7 linked regions of the Rattus norvegicus genome follow. The main gene of each other region encodes a partner of the protein of the gene in region 6 in a complex. Links are inferred from orthologs where the notes say so. Each region holds a gene or a part of one and is shown on either strand. Other genes may lie near its edges. The genes, in order: Cwc27, Scnm1, Srrm1, Snrpd3, Srrm2, Plrg1 and Snip1.

Region 1 (3,500 bases), about 130 Mb from region 6:
CAAATGGTTCCAACTCCTCTCTCCTTCAGACACATTTGAATCTTCCTCTCCCTAGAAGATAGCTTGTGGATATCCCACCCCACGCTCTATGCTGCCCCACCCTTGGGTGATCAGCATCCATTCATGTAGTAAATGGTAAGAACTGTTTACACAAGCTTGAGACAGGGAATTCTCGGTATAAGCATCACAATGCTGTGTCCGAGTTGAAACAAGATGTGTGGGCAGAGAAATCAGCATTTGGATAACATAAGGGTAAACTTTACACAGCCTACAAAACATTATTTCTACATTTATTTAGTGTGTATGTGTGTGTGTGAGTGTGTGTGTGTGTGTGAGTGTGTATGTGTGTGTATGTGAGTGTGTGAGTGTGTGTGTGTGAGTGTGTATGTGTGTGTGTGTGTATGTGAGTGTGTGAGTGTGTGTGTGTGTGTGTGTGTGTGTGTACATAAGTGCATACTTGCCACAGCTTGACTCTCCTTCTCTGTGGGCAGGGAAACTGAGCTCCTGTCCTTGGGCTCCAGAGCAAGCACCTTTACTACTGAGCTATCTCACTGGCCTTTCCTTCTGCTCCCAACATTGCTAGCTAGTAATAAAGGTACAGCCTTAAAAGAGGCTCTTCTGAAGCATGTGTAAAAAAGGAGTGCACTGTTATAAACATCTCCTCTATGAACTTCCCATATGCACACAGGATGCTCACTGATCACATCTAAACCTTTAACAAAATCAAGTTATTGCATTTGAGCTTAGGTCATGTGACAGACAGAAAAGGCAAAGCAGAAATTCACATGTAAGATTGCAATTCTGTAGGGAAATATACAAATCTATTTAGAAGTAAATATTCTGATAGTAAGAGAAATTATTTTCATTTAAAAAATTGCAATTATATTATATGTTTTGCTTAAAATAGTAATTTGTTTGTAGAACTCTGACCTATTTGTAACTTGTTCAAGCTGTATTTATACTAAAATGAATACTCACATCTTCTAAATCTCCTGTTGCATCATCTTTTTCACTACAAAAATAAGTAAAACAAATACATTTTAGCTTCAACATGAAACTAATAAAAGGATTTAATTATCTAAAGTGTAAACTAGTTTTCTGAAATTAATGATTTTTTTTCACCACAGCATTCTCTGAGTGGCATTGTAAAGCAGATGGGAACATGCTCGAATGGAGCCACCTTTTATAAACAGAGGAAGAAATATGCTGCTCTACTAGTAGATACAAGAATTCCTTCAATTTTTTTTTTAATTCAAATAACCACTAACAAGACTATTCAATCTACAGAAAACATCTTTTCTATAGCTTAAAAGATGCTGGCTAAAGAGACCAAGTCCTACAAATTAAAGGATATTTTAAAATACGATTTTTAAAGATGAATTAACCTCAGTACAACAGTATTTTATCTCTGTGTGAGACATGGGCCAATATTTTGTTGTAATGAATATATTTAATACCAATTCACCTCCCACCTCTCAAACAAAGGCAACGAAGACAATTAAGACAGATTGCTGTCAAGTCTGAAAGTTGTGAGAATTTGTACACAGCAGATGAGCCCAGAATGTGGTAACGTCTTCCAGTAACCTTATACTCTCATGGTCAGTCATGATACCAAACAAAACAACTCCGAAGACAGTTAGCACAGCAATATGGAACTAAACATGATATATTACAACGGAGTTTCCAGTAATCAGACTAGCCTGTGATTAATCACTTATCAAAATGTATTATTGCTTTGGCTGGGCTTAAGAAATGTAAGTTATGAGCTCTGATTTTTAACGAACCAAGTGAATGAGAAGAAGCCTAATAGCAGGAAGTCAGGTCATGGCTGCACTGCACTGACCTTTCGACGGCCGGGACAGAGCTGAGATGCGGATCGTCCTTCAGCAGGTCATGGCTGCTTTTACTTCTCCCCTTCATGCTCTGGGAAGGAAGGGACAAACAATAGAGCTGAGAGTAGGAAATGAAAGGTCTTCCGAAAAGATAAGTTAACAAATTCACATGAAATTAGGTGGGGACATAGTATGCTTAGTAAAGGATGAGTTTATGAATATAATCCTTCTATCAACTGAACATAGGATTTTTACTTATTTATGTTAATTAAGTTTTACTTATTTGTTTGTTTTATAAGGCACAGTCTCTCCATCTAGTTCTAGCCTAAGATGGCCTTGAGTCTTCTCTGCAGGGCAGACTGACCTAGAGCTCATGATCTTTCTCTGTCAGCATCTTGCAATGGGATTCTAAGTGTGCAGCACCACTCATGGATCTAAACACTCTTTTAGGATCATCTCCCCAGAATAAGTGACACTGTCAAAAAGAAGTCAGTGGCTTGGGGCTGGGGATTTAGCTCAGTGGTAGAGCGCTTACCTAGGAAGCGCAAGGCCCGGGGTTCGGTCCCCAGCTCCAAAAAAAAGAACCAAAAAAAAAAAAAAAAGAAGTCAGTGGCTCACCAGCTCTGAGTACCTATGGTTCACATACAACTGATTAACTTCGACAACCCACGGATAAAAACAAGAATAAATTGAGACAAATGCATACTACCACCCTTTAATATACAGTAATACACCACATCCAAAGTTAGCCTCTGACCCTCTGTGTCAACCTCTTCACTGACAAGACAGACAATGAAAATTACACTGACAAATAGTGGGAACAAGGTTGTAACTAAGGTCCACTGCAGGTGCATGTTATTTATTAATAATGCTAAATTTATAAAGATGAATTCTTGTGCTCCTGAGAAATCACAGAGATTTTATTTATTTATGTTTTTAATTATTTATTTTACGTATATCAATGTTTTGCCTGTTTGTATGTTTGTGTACCACAGCCTGGATCCCTCAAGGTCAGAACAGATCTCCTGGAACCAGAGTGACAGACAGCTGTGAACTGCCATGTGGCTGCTGGGAGCCGAAGCTGAGTCCTCTGAACCAGTGCTCTCAACCTCTGGGCCATCTCTCCAGCCCTACAGAAAGATGTCAAACGCTCTTACGACAGCGACAGCGTGCATGTGGTTTGTGAAGTGGGTGTATGTTAATTAGCTTAACTCAGACATTCTACTGTATTTACATAGGTTGTACACTATATATATAATTTTATATGCCAGTTTAAATATATTACTTTTTAAAAAAGAAAGTTCTTCCCAGTGTTACATGCTGTAATACTAACCTTCAAGACCAAAACAGGAAGATTGCATATCTGAGGCTAGTTGGGGCTATTTAGCAAGGCACTGTCTAAAAGTTAAAATTAAAAAAAGGACCCAAAAAAAAAAAAAAAAAAAGGAGGAGGAGGAAAAAGAAAAGAAGTCCTTGTTGAGCTCTCAATGAAAACTCACTTTAAACAGCTAAAAGAAAAAAGAAGTAAGACATGAAAACAGGAAGAATTTGTAAGTTAAGCTGAATTAATCATCCCCACTCTAGGTTTTCCTTAACCTTTCAAATTAAGTTAGCACGAAGACAGAAGGTCAAAAGCAGACTTAAACATACACCCCTTCCCACTACAGC
Region 2 (4,023 bases), about 15 Mb from region 6:
AAGTTGATAGGGGCACAAGGTCTGGTTAATGGCTGAAAGCCCCGCCCCCACTCACCCACCTTCACGGGAGCTGCTCCTCCCACTGGGATAGCTGGGCAGATCTGGCCCAATAGTACTACACAAAGATGTGAAAGCAAAATAAGAAAAAAACAGGCCATAATATAATTTGGGTAATGTCAGAGGTGGTTGCTTAGCGGGCCACCCACTTTCTCCTGGGGACTACCTCAATCCTGGAAGACTCACCGTCACCCCGTATTTGAGTGCTAATCCAGCCAGGGTGTCTCCAGGCTCCAATTGATGCTCCAGGCGTCTTTCCCTCACTGGGGAGCAGGATGATTGTACCAGGCTTCCATAAGAACGAGCACGGCTCCCACGTAGCAGCCCTGACCCTCCGAGGGGAGGCTGTCTAGAGGGCGAAGCCATCTCCTCACTTCCAAGATCTAGGGTCACAACTGAGGAAAGCCCAGCTAAGTGACCAACAGTGACGGCTGAACCCAGAGAATGGATATTCAGAAAATTCTTTTTCTCTTTTCTCTTCAGTCTCCCGACTCTCGAGAGACTACATTCGTCCTCCTCCTCTCGATGCTTCTTACGGAGCTCGGAATTACAGTTCGTATCTTAAGAAGTCTTCCAGGCCGGTTACATTTCTTCTTCCTCAAGCCCCTTACCCATAAATATCTTCCCTGAGTTGTCAGTCGCTGACCCCGTGGACTTTCGACGCCCCCTCCCCAACTCCTCGCAAGCCTGATCTCTGACCTTTGAACCCTAGACACCCTCATTAACACTCTTCCCTCAGTGTGTCCCTACATCCAACAGTCAGGACGCCGGGAGCCCCCACATCCTCTCTGTTCCAAATAAAACCCACCCCAGGTAGGTTGTGGCTGAGGAGGACGAGCCTGAGGACTACAAGTTTGCAATATAGAGTCCACTGAGATCCCCCGAAGCCTCCCTCCACCTCAGGAGGGTCCCACCCTGAAATTCCGGCTCCACGTACAGGATCTTGGGTCTCCAAACACCTGGATCCTTCGAGATGCGAGGACCTGTGTCCAGGTGAGCGGTGTTCTCTCCAAAAAAATTAAAAAATAAAATAGATAACCAAAAGACTTCATTTCCCAAAAGGCACAGCGTCCAGGCAGTATCATAGGAAATACAGATCCCCTCAGGGCGCTGGAGGCGGGTCTTCCGGCTTGCGCGATGCATGCGTGGAAAAGCATCCCCGGAAGTACAGACTCAGAAAGAAACCGGAAGCAGAGAAGGCGATAGTGTACTCTTCCTACGGTGGCCTAAAGGAGCAGCGAAGTAGGCGTAGAATTTATCATATTCTCATAGTCGCGATGTCTTTTAAGAGGGAAGGGGACGACTGGAGTCAGCTCAATGTGCTCAAAGTAAGCCCTAGTGAGAGTCACCTGATCACCTTCAGCCGCCCTGTTGCTTTGGTTTGTTGCTTTGGCGACATCTAGGGGAGGGTGTTAGGGGACCAGAACTGAGAGGTGACCCCATTTTCTACCCTATGATCTGCATGGCCCCGTGCCATTTGACTCCTCTGTATTATTTAATATCCATCCGTTCCTCTCATTCATTTCTTCTATCCTGCTTCCTGCAGAAACGAAGAGTTGGAGACTTGCTAGCTAGTTACATCCCCGAGGATGAGGCGCTGATGCTGCGGGATGGACGGTGAGAGCGAAGAGTGGATCAAGCCTGGGGATTCGGGGATCAGAGGCTCAACAAACTTTTGTTACTAAGGAGTTCAGGAGTATAATAGTATTCTTTGGCTGGAAGTGAAGGGGTGGAGATTGGGAAACCTGGGAGTTGGAGGAGTGCTATGACAGAAGTAGGATCTACTCACCATAGCAAGTACACCGCGACTGCAGGCTGGAACACAAAACACACGCGCACACGCACACACACTTATAATTCACTTTTCTTGTTTCCCTAGCTTTGCTTGTGCCATCTGCCCCCATCGACCAGTACTGGACACCCTGGCCATGCTGACAGCTCACCGTGCAGGCAAGAAGCATCTATCCAGTAAGTTAAGAGAAGTAGGGAGGGCGGGAGATAGAGAATGAACTCTTGACATTTTGGCAAAATCTTTTCATTCTCCCTTGCTTTTCTTCTTCCTAGGTCTGAAGCTTTTCTATGGAAAAAAGCAGTCAGGCAAGGGAACAGAGCAAAATCCACGACCGCAGAACGAACTGAAGACAGAAAGCAAAACTGAGGTGAGGGCATCAGTGTTGTTTAGACGGGGCTATACTGCACGCAACAGGCATGAGGGGCCATTTGCTTCTGACAGCTTTGACTCACTCTCTTCTCTCATTGTCAGGCTCCTTTGCTAACCCAGACTCGAATAATCACCCAGAATGCTCTACACAGAGCTCCCCACTATAACAGCTGCTGCCGGAGGAAGCACAGGTCAGTGGAATGAGAAAGCCAGGAGTGGAAAAGGGTAGAAGCAAATAGATGACTTTAAAGTTATTACTCTGCAAACTGTCTTCTGAGAAATACTAATCTTGTGGAAATTTTTTTTTAATGACAGTTAATGATTTTAAAATAAAACTTTAGGAAATGGAATATTGTAGCATAATCCTACTTAAAAATAGTAACATTAAGGGTTGGTGAGAGAACTCAGTGTTTAGGAACATAAGGGGCTCTTCAGAGGTCCTGAGTTCAATTCTCAGCAACCACACAGTGGCTCACAACCATCCATAAAGGGATCCGATGCCCTCTTCTGGTGTGAGGATGTACATACAGACAAAGCACTCATATTTAAAAATGCATAAATAAATACATTTTTATAAAAAGAGGGGGCTGGAGAGATGGCTTAGTGGTTAAGAACACTGACTGCTCTTCCAGAGGTCCTGAGTTCAAATTCCAGCAACCACATGGTGGCTCACAACCATCTGTAATGAGATCTCATGTCCCCTTCTGGTGTGTCTAAAGACAGCTACAGTAGACTTATATATAATAAATAAATAAATCTTTAAAAAAAAAAAAAACTAGTAACATTAGCAGGGAATGGTGGATGGTAGTACACTTTTTTGTTCCTTTGTTACTGAGACAGGGTCTCTCTTTGTTGCCCTGGCTATCCTGGAACCCTGCTATTTAGACCAGGCTGGCCTAAATTCAGAGATCTGCCTGTCTCTGCTCCTCAAATGTTGGGATTGAAGGTGAGCAGTTCCATGCCTAGCTTTGGAAAGTCTTAATACAAAAACTTAGAACTGTATTTGTCAGGTTCTCTAAAGTCACAGAATGTATAGAATGTCTCTCTATAGTGAGGGAATTTATTGTGGTGACTTACAGTCTACATTCCAACTATCCCAAAAAAGGGTAGCTGTGGATGGGAAGTCCAAGACCCTAGGAGTTGCTCAGTCCCATGAGGCTAGTTGTTTCAGCTGGTCTGCTGTGGACGTAGATTCCAACAGATGTGCTGGCAAGTCAGTGCAAGCAGGTGAAGAAGAGTGAGTCTTCCTACTTCCAACGTCCTTATGTAGACCTCCGACAGAAGGTGTGGCTCAGATGACGGTGTGGACCACCACTCCTGGATCTGGGACTTGCTTTGTTCCAGGCTGACCTTGAACTCAGAGGTCTCCTGGCCCGTCTCCTGGGATTAAATGCCTGTACTACCTTGCCTGGGCCTAAGCTTTTCATGGCCACTGTGGCTCAAGATCTCCATGCCAATATCCAGATCAGATACTTGTGTCTTCCAACCTCAAGATCTGGATCACAGATGTGCCCTCCAATTCTGGATTGTAGTTCATTCCGGACATTCTCAACTTGACAACCAGGAATAGTCATTACAAACTATTAAGCTAGTTTTTCCTTAAATTCCTTTTTTCCCTTTTATTTTTTATTTTATGTGCATTGGTGTTTTTACTGTATGTATGTCTGTGAGAGGATGTCAAAGGTGAAGTTTAAGATACTTGTGTGTTGCCATGTGGGTGCTGGGAATTGAACCCAGGTCCTCTGGAAGAACAATAGCCAGTGCTCTTAACCATTGAGCCATCTCTCTGGCCCCAGCTTTTCTCA
Region 3 (3,500 bases), on a different chromosome or scaffold from region 6:
TGGGTTCTGAAGAGTGTGGTAAGCTTTAGAAACTGAGCTGGGCTTACAGTGTCAGCGCTGGCTGGACAAGGAGCCAAGGACCGTTTGCATTGACTCCTTTCTCCTTTGTCAATGGTGACAAACTGGCTTAACTGTCATTTAAGTCTTTTGTGAGGTTGCTTCTAGTTTGTTAATATGTGGCACTTGGTATGTGGCTTGTGTCGGAGGTTTATTGTAGAACTCAGAATTGTCGTATTTGGTTCTTGAATGTCCTTTTAACCACATTACTCCCAGAGTGGCTCTAGTACTTGAGACAAGTTTGTGGTTTGTCTTTAGGGCATTGGTGGGTGTAATGCCCAGTCGGTTTTCAGTGATGGGACTTATCTTTCTTAGCGATAAGAGTGTGAAGGTTGGAGATAGAGCAGTCACCTAGTGTGTGCAGTCCCTCTGGGCTTCCCTCAGTCTCTGTGCTGTGGAGGAGGGGCCGCTCTAAGCCAGGGCTTCCAGATTGGTGTCTTAAGTAGTTTGGTGTCTGTTACATCAAAGTGTTTCTCATGAAGAATCAAAGTCAATTGAAAAACCTTTTCAAAACACAGCTTGGCTGAACTTAGCCCTCAAGTGGTTCACAAAAATCTCGGCTAAGTTTCCCAACTGATTATTATTTGTGTCCCAACTAAAATAAATGTTCTAGTGTCAGTTTTTTTATTTTCTTTTCCTCCCTCTGTTGGGTGGTTTATGTCATAACCAAATGTGTGTTTTTGCCTGAAGCTAACATCACAAAGCTGTCTTTTACTCATACCAAAAGCAAAACATAAATAAGTTTATGCTCTGGGTTAGTTAACCACTGGAAATATGCTTCCTGGAGGGATTTAAATTATGAATGTCACCGACTGAGGATAATTCTAATTTCTTGTTTAGTAGTAGAAGGAGGAGAAGTCCTTCCCCACCTCCTGCCAGAAGACGACGATCTCCTTCTCCAGCCCCTCCTCCCCCTCCTCCCCCACCTCCTCGGCGGCGCAGATCTCCCACCCCACCACCACGACGAAGGTACTGTGTCCAATTGACTCATGGTAACTCTGGGTCTTTGTGATAGAAGTTGCTTTGTGAGAGACATTGCATTGTGTGTCGTAAAGCGTCACATAAGTGTGAGCTCCTTTATGGGTCACAGAACTCTGTAGAAACAGAAAATAGGTCAGGGCAGCAGTGATGCTAACCTCTGATCCCAGCACTCAGAAGGCAGAGGCAGGCAGGTCTTTGCATTCAAGTCCACCCTGATCTACAAAGGGAGTTCAAGGAAGGACAGCCAGGGCTACACAAAAAAACCCTGCAGAGATTTGCCGGGAGGAGGGAATATGAGAATGAATGAATGAATGAATGAATGAATGAGAGAGAGAGAATGAATAGGAGCCAAGAGTATTATGCTCAGAATCTAAACTCTTGAAGGGCTGAGGCAGGGAAATTTTGACTTGAGGTCAGCCTGGGTATAGAGAAGCTAAACCTTGCCCAACAAACAAACAAGGGGAGAAGAAAATAGATGGATATCCAGGGTGAGGGAGTGAGAAATGTCAGCTCTTTAGTACAAGAGTCTTTGGAAACCATCTAAGTGCACGTTGGCCATTGCACTGAGCTGTTGCAATGTGCGCAGCTCCAAAGCCTCGATGATCAATGCTCCTGCTGGTCATGTAGAACCCTAGTCTGACAGGTGCTGGGAGTCCCAAATCAAAAGGATAATCCATGAAGGAAGAGGTTAGAGCCCTTCAGAAAATGACATCATGTGGTGCTGTGTGTGTCAGCACACCAACATAATCTTGGCTCTTAGGAGGCAGAGGCAGAAAGATCAGCCCTGGTCTGGAACCAGCCTAAATTTGTTTGTGTGTGTGGTTGATGGCAAGCACTCACTGTAGAATGATCCTTTGTTTCCGTTAGTGGGGTATTATCTTTTCCTAGGCAGCAGTTGTTCTCCTTTAATAAAATTTTAGTGAATATAGCAGACAGACCTCAGATTTGAGGCTGAGCTACTTCCGAGCTATTGGGATTACAAATTGGATCCACTGTGCCTAGCCAGAATTATTAAATAACTATCCAGTTCTGTTTTACCACTTTGCCTGAAGATTGGCTTATTATAAACCTAGATCTGAACAGGAATTTTTGTTGAAAATCCAAGCACGAATTGTGCAGTTTTCCTAAATGTTGTATTACTTGGTAATTTTTATAGAACATAACAGGATTTTGTCACCTTGAACAGAAAAGCTGGCTCGAGCTTTTAGAAATACCTTTGCGGGGCTGGGGATTTAGCTCAGTGGTAGAGCGCTTGCCTGGCAAGCGCAAGGCCCTGGGTTCGGTCCCCAGCTCCGAAAAAAAAAGAAATACCTTTGCCTGGCAGTGAATTTACACTAAAAATGGTCCTTTGAGACAGAAGACTTGGCAGTCTGTTGAAAGCTTTTCACTAAAAAACTAGGATGCTAGTTCAAAGGAGACAACAGTGCCATTGCATGCAACCTTCTTAGTTTGTTTATTGTAGAGTGCTTTGTCTACATATCTGTGTGTGCGCTGTGTACCTGGTGACCATGAAAGCCAGAAAATGGCATTGGATCCCCCTTAAATTTGAATTCACAAGGTTTTGTGAGCTACCACATGGATGAGTGCTCAGCACCAAGCCAGGCCCTGTGCAAGGTCAGCAAGTGCTCTCTGGAGGTGAGCCTTGTCCAAGCAATGGCAGCACAGATGCTCAACTGCAGGCAGGCAGACCTCTCTGAGTTTGAGGACAGCCTTGTCTACAGAGCAAGTTCCATGACAGCCAGGACTACACAGAGAAACTCTTGTCTGAAAAACACCAAAGTGGGGGGTGCAGGGTGGGGGCCATCTCTCCAGCTCCTGTCACAGTAGAACTCAAGTCTGCTTTGCCTGATTGCCTGGTTTGCTTTAACCAATTGCCTGGCAACACAGTTACCACACACAGTGTGAAGTTCTCTTGTGAAACACTACTTTGTTTTATATAATTGTATACATTTTCTTGGTTTGATGAATTTTAATTGTTTCTGAAATTTTCAACTTTCTCCATTAAATACAACACAGTATCCTCTTGTCACTCATGGTGGAGTGTGTATTACTTTGAAATATATCTCCTACAGCATAGTTATGGCTAGTTACTCTTTAGTTAATTTTCCTGATTCTGGATTGACTAGCAAGATGGCTCAGTGGGTGAAAGTGCTTGCCATCAAACTGTAGTGCTCTAAGTGTGATCCCATAATCCTAAAGGTGGGTGGGGAGAATTGCTGCCACTAACCCAACCAGCCCTAACATGCATGATGTGGGTGTGCACAAACAACAGCAGCAGCAGCAATAGCAACAACGGTTTTAATATTTTGGATACTGTCCATTTCATCTTTATTGCTGTGTTGTTTTTTTTCTAGGACCCCTTCTCCTCCCCCACGCCGCCGCTCACCGTCTCCAAGAAGATACTCTCCTCCCATCCAGAGGAGATACTCTCCTTCCCCACCTCCAAAGAGGAGAACTGCCTC
Region 4 (2,932 bases), on a different chromosome or scaffold from region 6:
GGCTCAGCAGTTAAAGCACTTGCTGCTTTCCCAGAGGACCAGGGTTGGGTTCCTAGCACTCAGGGGATCTTAGCCCCACTGTCTCCAGCTTCTGCAGTCACACACACTCTACACTTAAATAAAATAAATCTTTAAGTATTTTAGATGCAGTTAAGATAAATACATTGCTTACAGATGATGCCTTTGGCTTTATGATGCCAACACCGGGCCTTCCCTGGGACTGAGTTACCATTTCTCCAGTAGCAGACAGGAGTGCATTAGAACAGTAACAGTTTGCTGCTGGATTGTTTGTCAGATGACATTGAGAACCCAACATAGGACATTAGTAGAAGCACCTAGTTTAAGTCTGGTTGGATCTGTATGACAGCCTTGTGGAGATTTTCAAGGCAAGTGGGGAGATGCTGAGTGGGAAATAAGACAATAATTGTACATCTCAAAAATAGACTTTGTAACTCAGATCAGACATTACTGGGTTTGTTATATCTTAGGTAGTCGAGACAACATTTAGACATGCTTTGCCCTGTTTAATTTTGTTTTTTAACAGCCCCAGTAAAGTATATTCCACTTCAAGATAGGGAGTAAGTAGTTCAGAGTCAGATAGACCTGGGTTTGAACTTACAGAACACATGAAGACAGTGTGATTTTTGTGCAGGAGGACAGGATGAGAAAAGGCGTGGACCTTCAGCATAGATCTGCCTCTGACAGGCCGTGCCTCCTGTAGGGTTTGATGGTATAAACTCAGCCATTTGGGGCAGTGCCTGCTGTTGACATTCGTACCCAGTAAACACTGGCTGTCGTTATGCTGTGATTCCGCTAGGTGGGGAGCTGGGACTCAGAACATTCTGAAGATGTGCTCAGGGTTACATCTGGAAGGTGTCAAGCCCAGGTCTCAGTGGAGGTCCTCATGCTACCTCGGTGTCTTCTACAGAGTCACAAACACGCCTGAAATTGGGGGATGGGATGGGGGAATCTGGTTCCAGTTGGGTAAGGAAGCGAATCCATAGCTGCTTATTTGTGGTAGCAGAGATTCTGTACCTGTCCCGGGCACTGCGGCGAGGACTCAGAAACCGAGACTCAAGGAGCTGGCGATAGAATTTTTAAGCCTGCAATTGGTTGGTGGGAAACTGGGCCCTCTTGACCTTGAATGTAGAACAGGAATGGTGGTTTGCAATCCTAGACACCATTCCCATTGCTCAGATAAAATGGGACAGCCTCAGAGCGTTGATGGATTTTGGTTTTGGTTTTCATGTTCAACCAGAAACCACCTGGTCCTTTAGAAGGAGCAAAGGCAGCAGCATAGAAGCCGGTCCTGGGAGACGGTGCCTCTGAAGATGATCTTTAAGCAGATTAATCCAGTCTTAGAAAGATAGCTGTTTTCTCTCATATGTGGTTCCTAGGTTTTATACTCATAAAATTATGTGTGTATATAGAAAATGAAAGTAGAAGTTGAGTTATTGGAGAATAAGGGGCTAACAGTGGGGAGAAGAGGTAAGAAAAGAAAGGGGAGGGGAAGCAGGTAGGGAAATATGTCCAATGTACAGTAAGACTACCCATGATTTAAATCTCATAAGGAAGGAATCTGGGAGCCAGCACATCCTTGCAGCATGGGCTTCACCCACTCTAGATAAAGTCTACTCCTTTCTGCCTACCCGATAGCAATTCGGCAATTATGGTAAACATGGCGTGGCTGGATTTGGTGCTGGCAGGATTATGTCACTGTCCTGTTCCCTGTGGGTCTCCTGACTGGACTCAGAGATCCCTCCTTCCTTCATCCTACGCAACACACGTGGGCACATTTGTCCTCCCAAAATACTGCCTGTTGAGCATTTCTCCTTCCACAGACTTGAGTGGTCTGCCGTTCTCTGAGGTGTGCTCAGGACTGCCAGATGTGCTGCTTCAGTGCACGCATGCCAAAAGCTCCTGCCCAGGTCTTCCTCTCCTTGTGCAGACTGGGAGCAGGCACTGCCTGTCACTCCTCAGTCCTGTCTAGTCATCTGTCTTCCTGATGTGTGCTGAGTCAGAACTATGTCTGCTGCCTATGATGACCCTGAAGGTGCCTTTCCAGCTGGAGTGCCAGCAGGTCCAGGAGGCTGCACACCTGTCACTCAACAACCTGGCCCAGGCGGATGCAAGCTGGGGCTCTGTGTCTGAGCTGCAGCGTGTCAGTGGTCTATCCTGGGTTTGTTTGATTGTAGTCTATAAAATGGGAGAGCCCATACTTCATCTGCCGTTTGTGTGAAGTGTGCAGTCCCTAACGCCTACAGAAGGTGCCAGCCATTGCTAGGGTAGTTTACAGCATTGTCTACTCCTTCCTGCTGGTGTGGGCTTCTGTGTTTCTAAACTTCTCCAGTTAAGGCTCGCTGGCTTTGTGTGCTCCAATGCTTTGACCTTGCAAATAAAATGGTGATTCCCTTCCAGATGTCCAACATCACAGTCACATACAGAGACGGCCGAGTGGCACAGCTGGAACAGGTGTACATACGTGGCAGCAAGATCCGGTTTCTGATTTTGCCTGACATGCTGAAAAATGCACCCATGTTAAAGAGCATGAAAAATAAAAACCAAGGCTCAGGGGCTGGCCGAGGAAAAGCTGCTATCCTGAAGGCCCAAGGTAGGTACCTTCCCTCGGCTGGCTTTAGAATTACTACGTACCTTGTTTCTTTTAGGGGAAAGGGTGAGTCTGATGGCACCATTCTTCACACTTGCTGCTAATCCTGTCCTGATCGTCCCCAGGCTTGAGAAATCCTTGGGAATGGAACTGTTTGTTCCCTGTTAGCTTTTTTGTCTTACTCAGTCCCATCACAGAGTTTAGTATAAAATCCCAAATCTCAAGCAAGGTGTGGTGCCTCATACCTGTAATCCCGGCACTTAAGAGGCTGAGGCAGAAGACATGGAGTGAGTGGGAGGCCAGCCTGAGCTACACACACAGCAT
Region 5 (3,500 bases), on a different chromosome or scaffold from region 6:
CAGACATATACATTTCCCCTTGTCTTTTTTATTTTATTTTATTTTTATTTTTGTTTGTTATGATGTATATGGACTACCAGAATAGGGCGGGGGTGGTTTGGTGGTGTCTGGGGGAGGAAGGAGTCCTTACCCTGGCTTCCTTAATCGGGGAAGGCTTCCTGAAGGAGGTGGGCTCAGAGGTGAGTTATGAATGAAGTGGGTAGGGAAGGGCCTGGGTGGAGGGTTTGGGTATGTTGGAGGGTGGGGAATAATGGGGTAGAGGGACTTAAATTATTTGGGATTATATTGGGAAGAGATAGAACAACAAAAGAGGACTCATTTGCATCTTTGAAAATGAATTTTCATGTGACAAAAAAGGTTTTTTGTTTGTTTTGTTGGTTTTTTGTTTTGCTTTTTGTGTTTTTTGTTTTCATTTGTTTTTTGTTTTTGGAAAGAAGGTTTTACATATAGGAAAGTGGATTGCCAGCTGGGGGTGGAGGGGGTTTTCTGTTCTTCCTTGAGCTGATTTTCCTGGTCTCCCCTGCCCTTCATTAACTCACAGGTCTCGAAGTGCTGCTGCTAAAATTCATACAACATCCTTGACTGGGCAAAGTCCTCCCCTTGCTTCAGGGCATCAAGGGGAGGTAGATGCACCTAGTGAACCAGGTGCCACCAACATACAACAGCCTAGTAGCCCAGATCCCTCTACAAAGCAATCTAGCAGTCCTTATGAAGACAAAGATAAGAAGGAGGTATGTTCTGAGTTCGTTGGGTTGCAGGGTTTTACTCAGGGTTGCACCTTAAATGGGCAAGTGTTGTAAATAGTGTAGAGTAGCTTATTAAGAAGAAATCTTATCCTTTAGATTGTGGTCAGGTTCAGAGATCAAGGTTGGCAAGCAGCTATAGAAGGCAGTAAGTGTGTGTGTGAGTGGGTTGGGTGGTGGTTTCAGAGAAGCATACCGATAATATAAGCAAATATGAAGATTTTTGGACAGTTTTCAAAGAAGATAGAATGAGAGAAAGGAGAATTCTCTGGGTTAGAACTCAGCAATGTGGATAAGTTTAGTGGTGCATGATGTCCATCTGTAAATATTCTATAAACAACTGCTGAGAAATATTTGATTCCTCATTCAGTTACCAAGTCCTTTTACATACCTGCAAGTACTTAAGAGGACCTACTAAATTGTGAAGTCTTCAGAAAAACTTCAGTGGATATTAGTAGGTTTTATATCAGTAATTTGTTTATATTCATACAGCGATACAAAAGGTTTTATTTTTTTTTGAAACCAGAACATTTATTTTATGACTATTAAAATCCTTAAGATGAACTGGATGCTACAACAGCTAAAGTGGCCCTCTTGGGTTGATGTGTTATTCCTTCTAGGAATCCATGTCTGAATCTATGACAGTTTTAGGCACGGTAGTGCTTTGTCTCTAATTCTTGAATCCAGTTAAACTTCCTCTTGCACTTGGCAGAGTAGCCACATTTGCCACGGGTCAACTTCTGAAGGTGGTGGTATGCGCCTTACAGCTACAGGAGCGGCACAATGTGTTTGTCTAATTGTGACACTCTATAAAGGATGATGTTTTCTTTTGTTATCTTGCCTCTGCCCAACAAAAGATTTTTTTAAAAATATTTTAACTTTATTAAAGTATATATTTCCTTTTTTATGCTTGTCATCAGTTATTAAATTTTTCAATCCTTAGACATGTTGCCACCAACATAAAAACATGAAGGAATTATCTTTTTAGTAGTTCCTGTTTTATATCTTCTAGATCTGTGGCTGATTGTTTCTACTAGATTCAGTAATTAGTGTAACTTAATATCTCCCATGTTGTGGCTTATTTAAAGATAAGTTACAAGTTGATCATTTCAGAAAACTTAGCTGCTTGCTATAATGCTTTGGTGTTTTCTGTAATTAAGGTGGTTTTATGGTTTGGCCTTATTTGTGTAAGACCTTAGTAAATTAATTTTTGTGTGTATGTATGAAGGGAAGGCGTATGTTATGTGTGCTTGGAGGTCAGAGGACTTATGTATGTGTTCTGTGGATTGAACTCTGGTTAGCAGGCTTATGTTGCAAGTGCCATCTCATTGGCTGTTGGTCAGTATTTTTGTTTTTGAGACAGGGTCTTACACAGGCCCTGGCTGTGCTGCAATTCACTACATAGTTCAGGCTGGCCTTGAAATCACAGAGTTCCACCTGCCTCTGCCTCCGGAGTACTGGAATTAAATGCATATATATGGTCATGCCAGGCCCCTCTTGGAAAATTTTGACATAAACCATACTCTTTAAAACCTTGTGCCCATTTCTGATATTTTAACTTAAGTCAGTCCCCATATTCAGGTATAAAGTTATTGTCACCCAAGGTGCTTTCTCTTTTTGTTTAATTATATCTTTTTTGGGTGGTGTGGTAGTATTCATTTGTAACCCACACATACTGCCAGACTCCTTCCCTTGAAAAGGAAAAAGCGGGGCTGGGGATTTAGCTCAGTGGTAGAGCGCTTACCTAGGAAGCGCAAGGCCCTGGGTTCGGTCCCCAGCTCCGAAAAAAAGAACCAAAAAAAAAAAAAAAAAAAAAAAAGAAAAGGAAAAAGCATGCAATGGAGAGGATTTATCTGATGAATTCAAAACACTCATCAAAAGATATTGACTAAATTTAAGAGAACAGTGCACAGAGTGAAAAAAAATTAACAAGGAAGATAATAAAAAACTGGGAAATGACTCAGGCGAGTAATTGGTATGCAAGTATGAGGCCTGGTGTCTCATCTGTAATCCCAGCATGCAAAATGGAGACAGGGCTATCTGTCTATAAGGCATATAATCAGGTTTTGCCCCCTGCTACCTTATTTTCTCATTGTAAAAAAATGCATTTATTTGTGTGTGTGTGCGCGCGCGTGCACATGACAGGTGCACATGTACGGGTTATTGAACAACTTTGAAGAGTAAGTTTTTCTCTTTGCCACTAAATGGGCCCAATGGTTTGTAGCCAACTAAGCTATCTTACGGACTCTTTATTAAGCATTGCATGTTATCTTGTTACTGAGTGCAACTATGGGTAGGGAAAGTCAGTATGGTATAAGAGGTATGTAGAGTAAATTTTTATTAGAAACTGTTCATATCTTACGGGTAATAATGAAGTTTTGGTGTTTTATTACTATTCCCACTTTTCTTTTCACTCTTAGAAATCTGCAGTTCGACCTAGCCCCTCTCCGGAAAGGAGCAGCACAGGGCCAGAACTACCTGCCCCCACTCCGCTCCTTGTTGAGCAACATGGCGACTCCCCACGACCCCTTGCAGCAATCCCGTCCAGTCAGGAGCCAGTTAACCCCTCATCTGAGGCTTCCCCAACCCGGGGCTGTTCACCACCTAAGTCTCCTGAGAAACCTCCCCAGTCATCTTCCTCAGAGAGCTGCCCACCATCCCCTCAACCTACCAAACTTTCTCGGCATGCCAGCTCTTCTCCTGAAAGTCTTAAACCCACACCAGCTCCTGGGTCCCGTCGAGAGATTTCTTCTTCAC
Region 6 (4,252 bases):
AACCTCATGGTTTTCACCTTGATTGGCAGGATACTGCTTATGAGGATATGAATCTGGTGCGTTTTGAGGTCCCTTCTCCTTAAGATTCTCTTTTGAAGTAGGCATATGCAGCACAGGGCCATACTCATTACGAAGCTTGATTGCCATTTTCCGCTTGTGACTATTTAAAAATCATAAACATGAAATGCATCCTTAAATATTAGAAACACATCACCAATGAAAATATTCAGTTAGCAGAACACAAGTACAGAAAGAGATACTGTATTCCAACTCACAGATCCAGGATGTTTTTCAAGTTAACTAGTATTTTAACAAATATGAAATTTCAAAATGTATTTCTATACCATATGTATTTACTTTACCTCACAATCTACCATACAGTAGTCATTTAATCCAAAGCAGGACCATAGTTTGCAGCTGAATAAACACAAAACCTTTTTCAATGAGGTCTCAAGGGTCCAAGTAAATTAAAGACATACATAAACTAATATATCTTTTAAAAAAAACCTTTAAATGTCTGAATATAGTAAAATTTGTATAGACACCTTTATTAGTAATCTAAAAAGTCAGACCCAATGAAAGCACTAAATTAGCTCTGCATTTTAAAGATAAATGTACTTATATTACTTAAAAAGATAATCCACCTTAAAAATTAAATATAAATGCAAATGAGGGGAATTAAGTAGATTATAAAGAAAAAGCAAAGGACAGAGAAAGGCACTGCATACAACACAATCCCAGACTAGGATTGGTGAGAACCAAGAGTATGCCACTTAGAAGTCTTCACTGTACCAAGGAGCACAGATGGGAGAAGAGATACTGGCCAAGAACAATTTCAGCACAACGAGAGTCTGAGAGCAGGAAGCTAAAAGCATGCACAAAGTGATGCACTAGAAATACGATAACGTGACAGGAATGCCCCTAATTACTGGGTACTAGCTACTTTTCTATTGCTGTGGCAAACACCATAATTGAGGTAATTTAGAGAAGAAAGTATTAATTTGGGGGTCATGGTTTAAGAGGCTAGAGTCCTTGACCATCAGAGTAGGGAGCATGAGAGCAGACAGGCAAGCATGGTATTGGAGCAGCAGCTGAGCGCTTACGTCTGATTCACAAGCATGATGTGGGGGTTGTTGGGGGAGGGAGGGAGGTAAGGGAGGAAAGAGGGGGGGAGAAAAGGAGCAATAGATAGGGGAGCTAACTGGGAATGGTGTAGGTTTCTGAAATCTTACAGCTTATCCCCAATGACACACCTCCTCTAACCCTTCCAAAACAGTTCCACCAACAGAGACCAAGCATTTAAATACATGAAACTATGGAGGCCATTCTCTTTCAAATCATCACACTGGGTATCTGTAAACTATAATTAGATTTTTAAAATAGACAAGAGTTATTGTCTGTCTGGCCAGAGCTCAAGAGACAACACACAAAAATAAGCAAAATGAGTTAATGCTATTTGTATTATGATGAAAAGACACTCGCTACTGCCCAAGTATCCTGTGTCTGCATTTTTAAGACCTTTCAAAGTCACCTCCTCTCTGTCACTTTGCGCTCTTCTATCAATATAAAATACTTTAGCAACTGAAAAGGAATAGAACTTACCTCTCTTCATCCAAAGGCACAGGTTTTCCATTATCAGCCACAAACATGTCATGGGTCCTCTTCAATGACCTGAACACTAGTGTGTGCACAGAATGCTTCTGTACCTCCTGTAAAGAGACAATCAAGATCACACATCTAGCTAGAAGAGACCCATACGCTCTAATCAACATTAGATTCATTACGCACTTTACATGCTAAATACATAAAGGCTAACACTCCTCAGTAACTGTGACAAACTACAGCAGCCAACAACAAAGATGAGAAAGCTCCTGTCTGGTCAGAGTTCAAGAGACAACACACAAAAATAAGCAAAATAATTCCACATTTTGGAGGGTTCGATGGGGTGACTCAGAGGGGAAAAAAGAATTGCTAGATATAATCAAGAAAGGTTCTCTCTGGTGACAGGTAAGCAGAGAGGGAGACAGCCTTACAAAGAATAGAGGTTCAAACAGTGCAAGCTCTGGGAGATGCCACTGCGAAGACGTTCATATAATTCAGAACTGCAGCAGTTGTGAATGCTGCGGGAGTGTGGGTTCCGAAGGTCGGTGGGGTTTAGGCCTCTGCCATCACCAACATTTAACACTGGGACAGAAAGCAGCACTGAACTACATTCCTTCAATGTGTTCGTTAATCGTAAGCACTTGGAAGCTATAGAATTCGTCCAGGCAAAAGATGTTGGGCTAGATTAGGAGGACTGCAGTGGATCTGGAACGCAGTGGGTGGGAATAAGAAACGTTTGGGATACGCAAGAACAAACAAAATCAAGCACGGCAAGCTTTAATGGGGTAGAGATGAAATAACTGTGAAACTGACAAGACAGCACGGACTAGCATCCCAGCCAAGGTGGGAGCATCAGAAGCCCCGCCTCCCAGGAAAGGGCCAGATGCCAACAACACACCGACTGCAAGATTCCTTCAGGCTTCCCGCCGACTGAACCTCGGATTCGGGATGTCATCGGCCTTCCTCCCACCCCGACAGCCCAAGACCACCAGTTTTGGCTACAGTTCGCTTCCCCAGATTCCCAGTACTTTCATCCTACTTCCGTGGGCAAAGCTCCAAAGACAAACGACTCCCGAGTGCCCGAGCGTTACTTTACCTCCACCATGTCGCCGCCGTTTAGTCTACCCGTTCAGCAGCGAAGAAACTCCAAATGCTCGACGCAGAAATCGCCGCCACTATTCTGCCGCTCCTTCCGGAGATTGGGGCCTGTCGCCGGACGTGACGCCAACCGCGCATGCGTATTGGCAACCCGCCGCGCAGGGGTCGAGGGGTGGAGTCTAGCGGTGGAGGGCGGAAGCTAGGCGGAGTTGCGCGGAGACTCGTGGCGAAGAGTAGGATCTAGGCAGCTGCTGGGCGGGACTGGGCGGGGTTTGGGGCGGGGAGGGGCGGGTCTCGGCGGAACTGGGCGGAGTCCCCTGGCTGAGGGCGGAGCTTCCAGCCGGAGCGAAGGGAGCGCGGGCCTTAAAGCCCTGTTTAGGGGAGGTACTTGTTTCCGGAAGCTAAGTGCTGCTTAGAGATTCTAAGCAAGCCGTTTTTCAGAAACCATTGGGAACTTAAGTTGTTTTTACTTTATTTGACCTGATGCTAAACTGTTGACGTTTTGTGTTTCACCCAGATAAAATCTGTGGCTTACGTTCGATCGTTTCCAAGTGTTTTCTATATTGATGTAGTTGCTATTTGTGATCTTAAATAAGGCATTTTCACTGATTGTGCATCTTCCTGAACTGTGATTAAGTTCAATGATCCCGTCCTCAGAGAGTACTGCGAATACTTTGAGAAGGGTGAAAATGTAGCGCAGGTATAGCAATGTGAGCCAGTGCTCTCATTCAAATTCAAATATTTTAATTCATAATTATTCACTCAAATTCAAATATTTTAATTCATGAAAACATGAAGGTCGCATTTTTAGCCTGAAAACAGTCATTTCCGTCCTTTTAGTTTGAGCCTTAACTCCTGAGCCGTCTTTGTAGCTAGCCCACAAGTAGGCATTTCTAAATTTAAATGTGAGTTTAGTCAAAGGATCTTATTTTCTGTAAAAGTGGTCAACGTTTGTATACTTTGCAAGAAAATATTAATAACCTAGAAAAGAACATTTTAAATCACAAAACACTAAGGAAATGTTAGAAAGACCTTAACATATCTATGTTAATATGACTACTAGACAGCTCTCATTAAACTTGTTAGATAGTCATCCTGAACACAACTTATGGACAAGGCTCACAACAGCCATCTTAGAGGTAACCACACTAGGTTTTGCTTTTCTTATAACTCTCGAATTATGTCACCCATGTGAAAATTACCTTCTTGGCTTAATAAGGACCTTAAGTGACCCTATTATCTAGTTATGAGATCCATAAATCACATATATCGTAGGCAGATTTCTTGTTCACATAGGAACCTGTGTTCTTCTTGTTTGCTATGGCCTCCCTCCTCCTATTTCCTTGTTTTTGAAGAGATCCAGGATCTTTGGCTGGTTAAGAATTCTAGCCCAGAGGTGTTGGCACATGCCTTTAATCCCAGTACTGGCAGAGGTAGTCTGATTTCTGCGTTCCAGGACAGCTGGGACCAGAACTACGCAGAGGAAAAAACAAAAGAACAAACAAAAAGAGTAAGATGGACATATCTTTAAAAATAAAACCCTGTGCTGGCT
Region 7 (2,487 bases), on a different chromosome or scaffold from region 6:
AAGCGCAAGGCCCTGGGTTTGGTCCCCAGCTCCGGAAAAAAAAAAAAAAAAAAAAGTAAAAAGGGCTGGGGATAAAATTTAGAGTAAGTGCTTGTTTCCAGCCCCGCATCCTAGTCCCATTACCATTATGTGTGTATGCATATTGATGGAATATTAGCCTTAAAAGGAAGAAAATTCTGACACGTGCTACAAAATGTCTGAATCCTGATGACTTGCTTAATAAACCAGGGGGGAAAAGCATGATTTTGTAGTTGAGACAGGGTATCTCCTGCTAATTAGGCCCAGTTAGCCTGAAACTTGCTTGGTAGCACAGGCAGGCCTAGAACTCTTGATGATTCTCCTGCCTCAGTCTCCTGAGTGCTGATATTAAAGGTGTACCATCAACTGAACTCCACCAGAGGAGTGCATGCAAGCCTGTGTGTCCCTTTGGAGACAGGGTCTCATTCTCATTCTCTTAACTTCTAGAGACCCACCCACCTCTGACTCCTGAGGGCTGGGATTAGAGGTGTGCAGTCCCTTCTCTCTTGACAGGAATTGCTAATCTGAGAGAATTCCTACTTCTGTTAGCATTGGTACTGTGGTTATTAGAAGAAGCTCCCCTTCAGAGTCAGGCTAAGTGTTGGCTTCTTCTGGAAACTGCTTTGCACTTGGAGCTGTCACCTTACTGACTGACTTCTTATCCATCTATTGCTGCTGTTTTACAAAACAAGGTCTCTGTGTAGCCCTGGCTAACTCTGTACACAAGGCTGGCCTCAAACTCAAAGAGCTCTGCCTCCGCCTCCTGAGTACTGGGATTAAAGGTGTGCGCCACTGTGCTCATTGATCTACTGACTGTGTATTGCTGTTTGTGCGACGTTGATTTTCAGTATGTGCCTCCATTTTGTTAGAAATTTGGAAACTGCCAAGTAGTACTTTCTTGTAGGTTTCTTGAAGTGTTCGTGTTTCTTAGGTTTATCCATAGATGTTTGAATCATTTCTGTAATTGCTGAAGTTGAACCTTTTGAGATTATTTCAATCTCCTTTTGGCCTGTGAGGAAGTTAACTTTTCCCTTTATATATCTTACATGTGACTGTTCTGTTTTCTATACCTGCTACCCTGTGAGTTTGCCTGCAGGTGATTGAGAGAGGTATTTCTCCTTGTGGTAGGGTCTGGATGTGGGTTTGAGGAAGAGTATGGAATATGAAGTCTAAAGGCCCTTCAGGGGAAAGAACCACACTGATAGCCTTGTGTGGATAGGAATTTGTTCTGAATCCAGGCCACAGATGTGCTGTTGTTGTTTGAAATTGTTTAGCATATGCATGTCTGTACACCACATAATGTAGTGCCCACACTTACCACAAGAGGGCATTGGATTCTCTTGGAACTGTAGTTGTAGATGGTTGTGAACAGCTTTGTGGGTGTTGGGAAGTAAACATGGGTCCTCTGGAAGAGCAGTCAGTGCTCTTAATTGCTGAACTATCTCTCCAGTTCCTGCAGCTTGTTCACAGAGAAAGGGATGCTATCTTTCCCTTACTGAATCCCATCTGAATTTCAGGAACGGGAGGACCATCCACGGAGAGGACGAGAGGATAGGCAGCACCGGGAGTTATCAGAACAGGAGCACAGGAGAGCACGGAACAGCGAGCGAGATCGGCACCGGGGCCATGCCCGCCAAAGGAGGAGCTCTGATGAGAGGCCTGTCAGTGGGCAGGGTCGGGATAGAGACAGCCAGATCCTGCAGGCCCAGGAAGAAGAGAGGGACTTTAATAATGCCAGGCGCCGGGAGCACCGCCAGCAGAATGAGAGTGCTGGCGCTGAGGCTCAGGAGGTGATCCCTCGCCCTGCTGGTAACAAGAACAAAGAGGTGCCTGTTAAAGAAAAACCAAGCTTTGAACTTTCTGGGGCACTTCTTGAGGACACTAATACCTTCCGGGGTGTGGTCATTAAATACAGTGAGCCCCCAGAAGCCCGCATCCCCAAAAAACGGTGGCGTCTCTACCCCTTTAAAAATGATGAGGTGCTTCCAGTCATGTACATCCATCGGCAGAGTGCGTACCTGCTGGGGAGACATCGCCGCATCGCGGACATTCCTATCGACCATCCCTCTTGCTCAAAGCAACATGCAGTCTTCCAGTACCGGTAGGTAGACCAGAGGGAGGACTGGAAAGGGAGATGGGTGAACATCTCACTTAGCTTTCCTAAGGCTGACTGGCTGTGTGGAAATGCTGCTGAACCCATTACCCCTGGTCCAGTGAGCTGGACTGAAGGAGTACTGTAAGTCTTAACAACCTGTGGGTGATCTCCGGACATTTGTATGAGCGGCTTGAGTGTGATGTCAGAAATCCAGATATTAGCCTACCATTGTGTGGCAGTGTAGACCTGTAATCCTGGCTCTCGGGAGGCTAAGCAGGATTGGTGGTGTATATCCTCCTCTAGGTGTGGGTTATGTTCCATGACCCCATCTCTAAACAAACAAATAAATGATAGGAAGAAAGAGAAATTAAAAA

Evidence for each region.
Region 1: Plrg1 (region 6) and Cwc27 share a complex: the UniProt entries of both Homo sapiens proteins name them as parts of the minor spliceosome. The link is inferred for Rattus norvegicus from reciprocal best matches to the Homo sapiens genes PLRG1 and CWC27.
Region 2: Plrg1 (region 6) and Scnm1 share a complex: the UniProt entries of both Homo sapiens proteins name them as parts of the minor spliceosome. The link is inferred for Rattus norvegicus from reciprocal best matches to the Homo sapiens genes PLRG1 and SCNM1.
Region 3: Plrg1 (region 6) and Srrm1 share a complex: the UniProt entries of both Homo sapiens proteins name them as parts of the minor spliceosome. The link is inferred for Rattus norvegicus from reciprocal best matches to the Homo sapiens genes PLRG1 and SRRM1.
Region 4: Plrg1 (region 6) and Snrpd3 share a complex: the UniProt entries of both Homo sapiens proteins name them as parts of the minor spliceosome. The link is inferred for Rattus norvegicus from reciprocal best matches to the Homo sapiens genes PLRG1 and SNRPD3.
Region 5: Plrg1 (region 6) and Srrm2 share a complex: the UniProt entries of both Homo sapiens proteins name them as parts of the minor spliceosome. The link is inferred for Rattus norvegicus from reciprocal best matches to the Homo sapiens genes PLRG1 and SRRM2.
Region 7: Plrg1 (region 6) and Snip1 share a complex: the UniProt entries of both Homo sapiens proteins name them as parts of the minor spliceosome. The link is inferred for Rattus norvegicus from reciprocal best matches to the Homo sapiens genes PLRG1 and SNIP1.

What each region holds. Positions count from the first base shown.
Region 1 is NC_086020.1:37,685,339-37,688,838, forward strand, and holds part of Cwc27 (spliceosome-associated protein CWC27 homolog), read right to left. Parts: intron 1,924-3,500; coding exon 1,844-1,923; intron 1,013-1,843; coding exon 979-1,012; intron 1-978. UniProt on the Homo sapiens protein: As part of the spliceosome, plays a role in pre-mRNA splicing. Probable inactive PPIase with no peptidyl-prolyl cis-trans isomerase activity. As a component of the minor spliceosome, involved in the splicing of U12-type introns in pre-mRNAs.
Region 2 is NC_086020.1:185,391,023-185,395,045, reverse strand, and holds the start of Scnm1 (sodium channel modifier 1), read left to right. Parts: upstream 1-1,223; 5' UTR 1,224-1,334; coding exon 1,335-1,385; intron 1,386-1,437; exon of another isoform or gene 1,438-1,490; intron 1,491-1,603; coding exon 1,604-1,674; intron 1,675-1,936; coding exon 1,937-2,025; intron 2,026-2,121; coding exon 2,122-2,216; intron 2,217-2,320; coding exon 2,321-2,409; intron 2,410-4,023. Other genes in the region: Lysmd1 (lysM and putative peptidoglycan-binding domain-containing protein 1), read right to left, coding at 244-423. UniProt on the Homo sapiens protein: As a component of the minor spliceosome, involved in the splicing of U12-type introns in pre-mRNAs. Plays a role in the regulation of primary cilia length and Hedgehog signaling.
Region 3 is NC_086023.1:152,847,937-152,851,436, reverse strand, and holds part of Srrm1 (serine/arginine repetitive matrix protein 1), read left to right. Parts: intron 1-897; coding exon 898-1,026; intron 1,027-3,392; coding exon 3,393-3,500. UniProt on the Homo sapiens protein: Part of pre- and post-splicing multiprotein mRNP complexes. As a component of the minor spliceosome, involved in the splicing of U12-type introns in pre-mRNAs. Involved in numerous pre-mRNA processing events.
Region 4 is NC_086038.1:13,131,989-13,134,920, reverse strand, and holds part of Snrpd3 (small nuclear ribonucleoprotein Sm D3), read left to right. Parts: intron 1-2,418; coding exon 2,419-2,611; intron 2,612-2,932. UniProt on the Homo sapiens protein: Plays a role in pre-mRNA splicing as a core component of the spliceosomal U1, U2, U4 and U5 small nuclear ribonucleoproteins (snRNPs), the building blocks of the spliceosome.
Region 5 is NC_086028.1:13,340,559-13,344,058, forward strand, and holds part of Srrm2 (serine/arginine repetitive matrix protein 2), read left to right. Parts: exon of another isoform or gene 1-541; coding exon 542-731; intron 732-3,163; coding exon 3,164-3,500. UniProt on the Homo sapiens protein: Required for pre-mRNA splicing as component of the spliceosome. As a component of the minor spliceosome, involved in the splicing of U12-type introns in pre-mRNAs.
Region 6 is NC_086020.1:170,704,736-170,708,987, reverse strand, and holds the start of Plrg1 (pleiotropic regulator 1), read right to left. Parts: upstream 2,801-4,252; 5' UTR 2,708-2,800; coding exon 2,699-2,707; intron 1,710-2,698; coding exon 1,603-1,709; intron 161-1,602; coding exon 18-160; intron 1-17. UniProt on the Homo sapiens protein: Involved in pre-mRNA splicing as component of the spliceosome. Component of the PRP19-CDC5L complex that forms an integral part of the spliceosome and is required for activating pre-mRNA splicing.
Region 7 is NC_086023.1:142,616,028-142,618,514, forward strand, and holds part of Snip1 (smad nuclear interacting protein 1), read left to right. Parts: intron 1-1,535; coding exon 1,536-2,119; intron 2,120-2,487. UniProt on the Homo sapiens protein: Required for pre-mRNA splicing as component of the spliceosome. As a component of the minor spliceosome, involved in the splicing of U12-type introns in pre-mRNAs. Down-regulates NF-kappa-B signaling by competing with RELA for CREBBP/EP300 binding.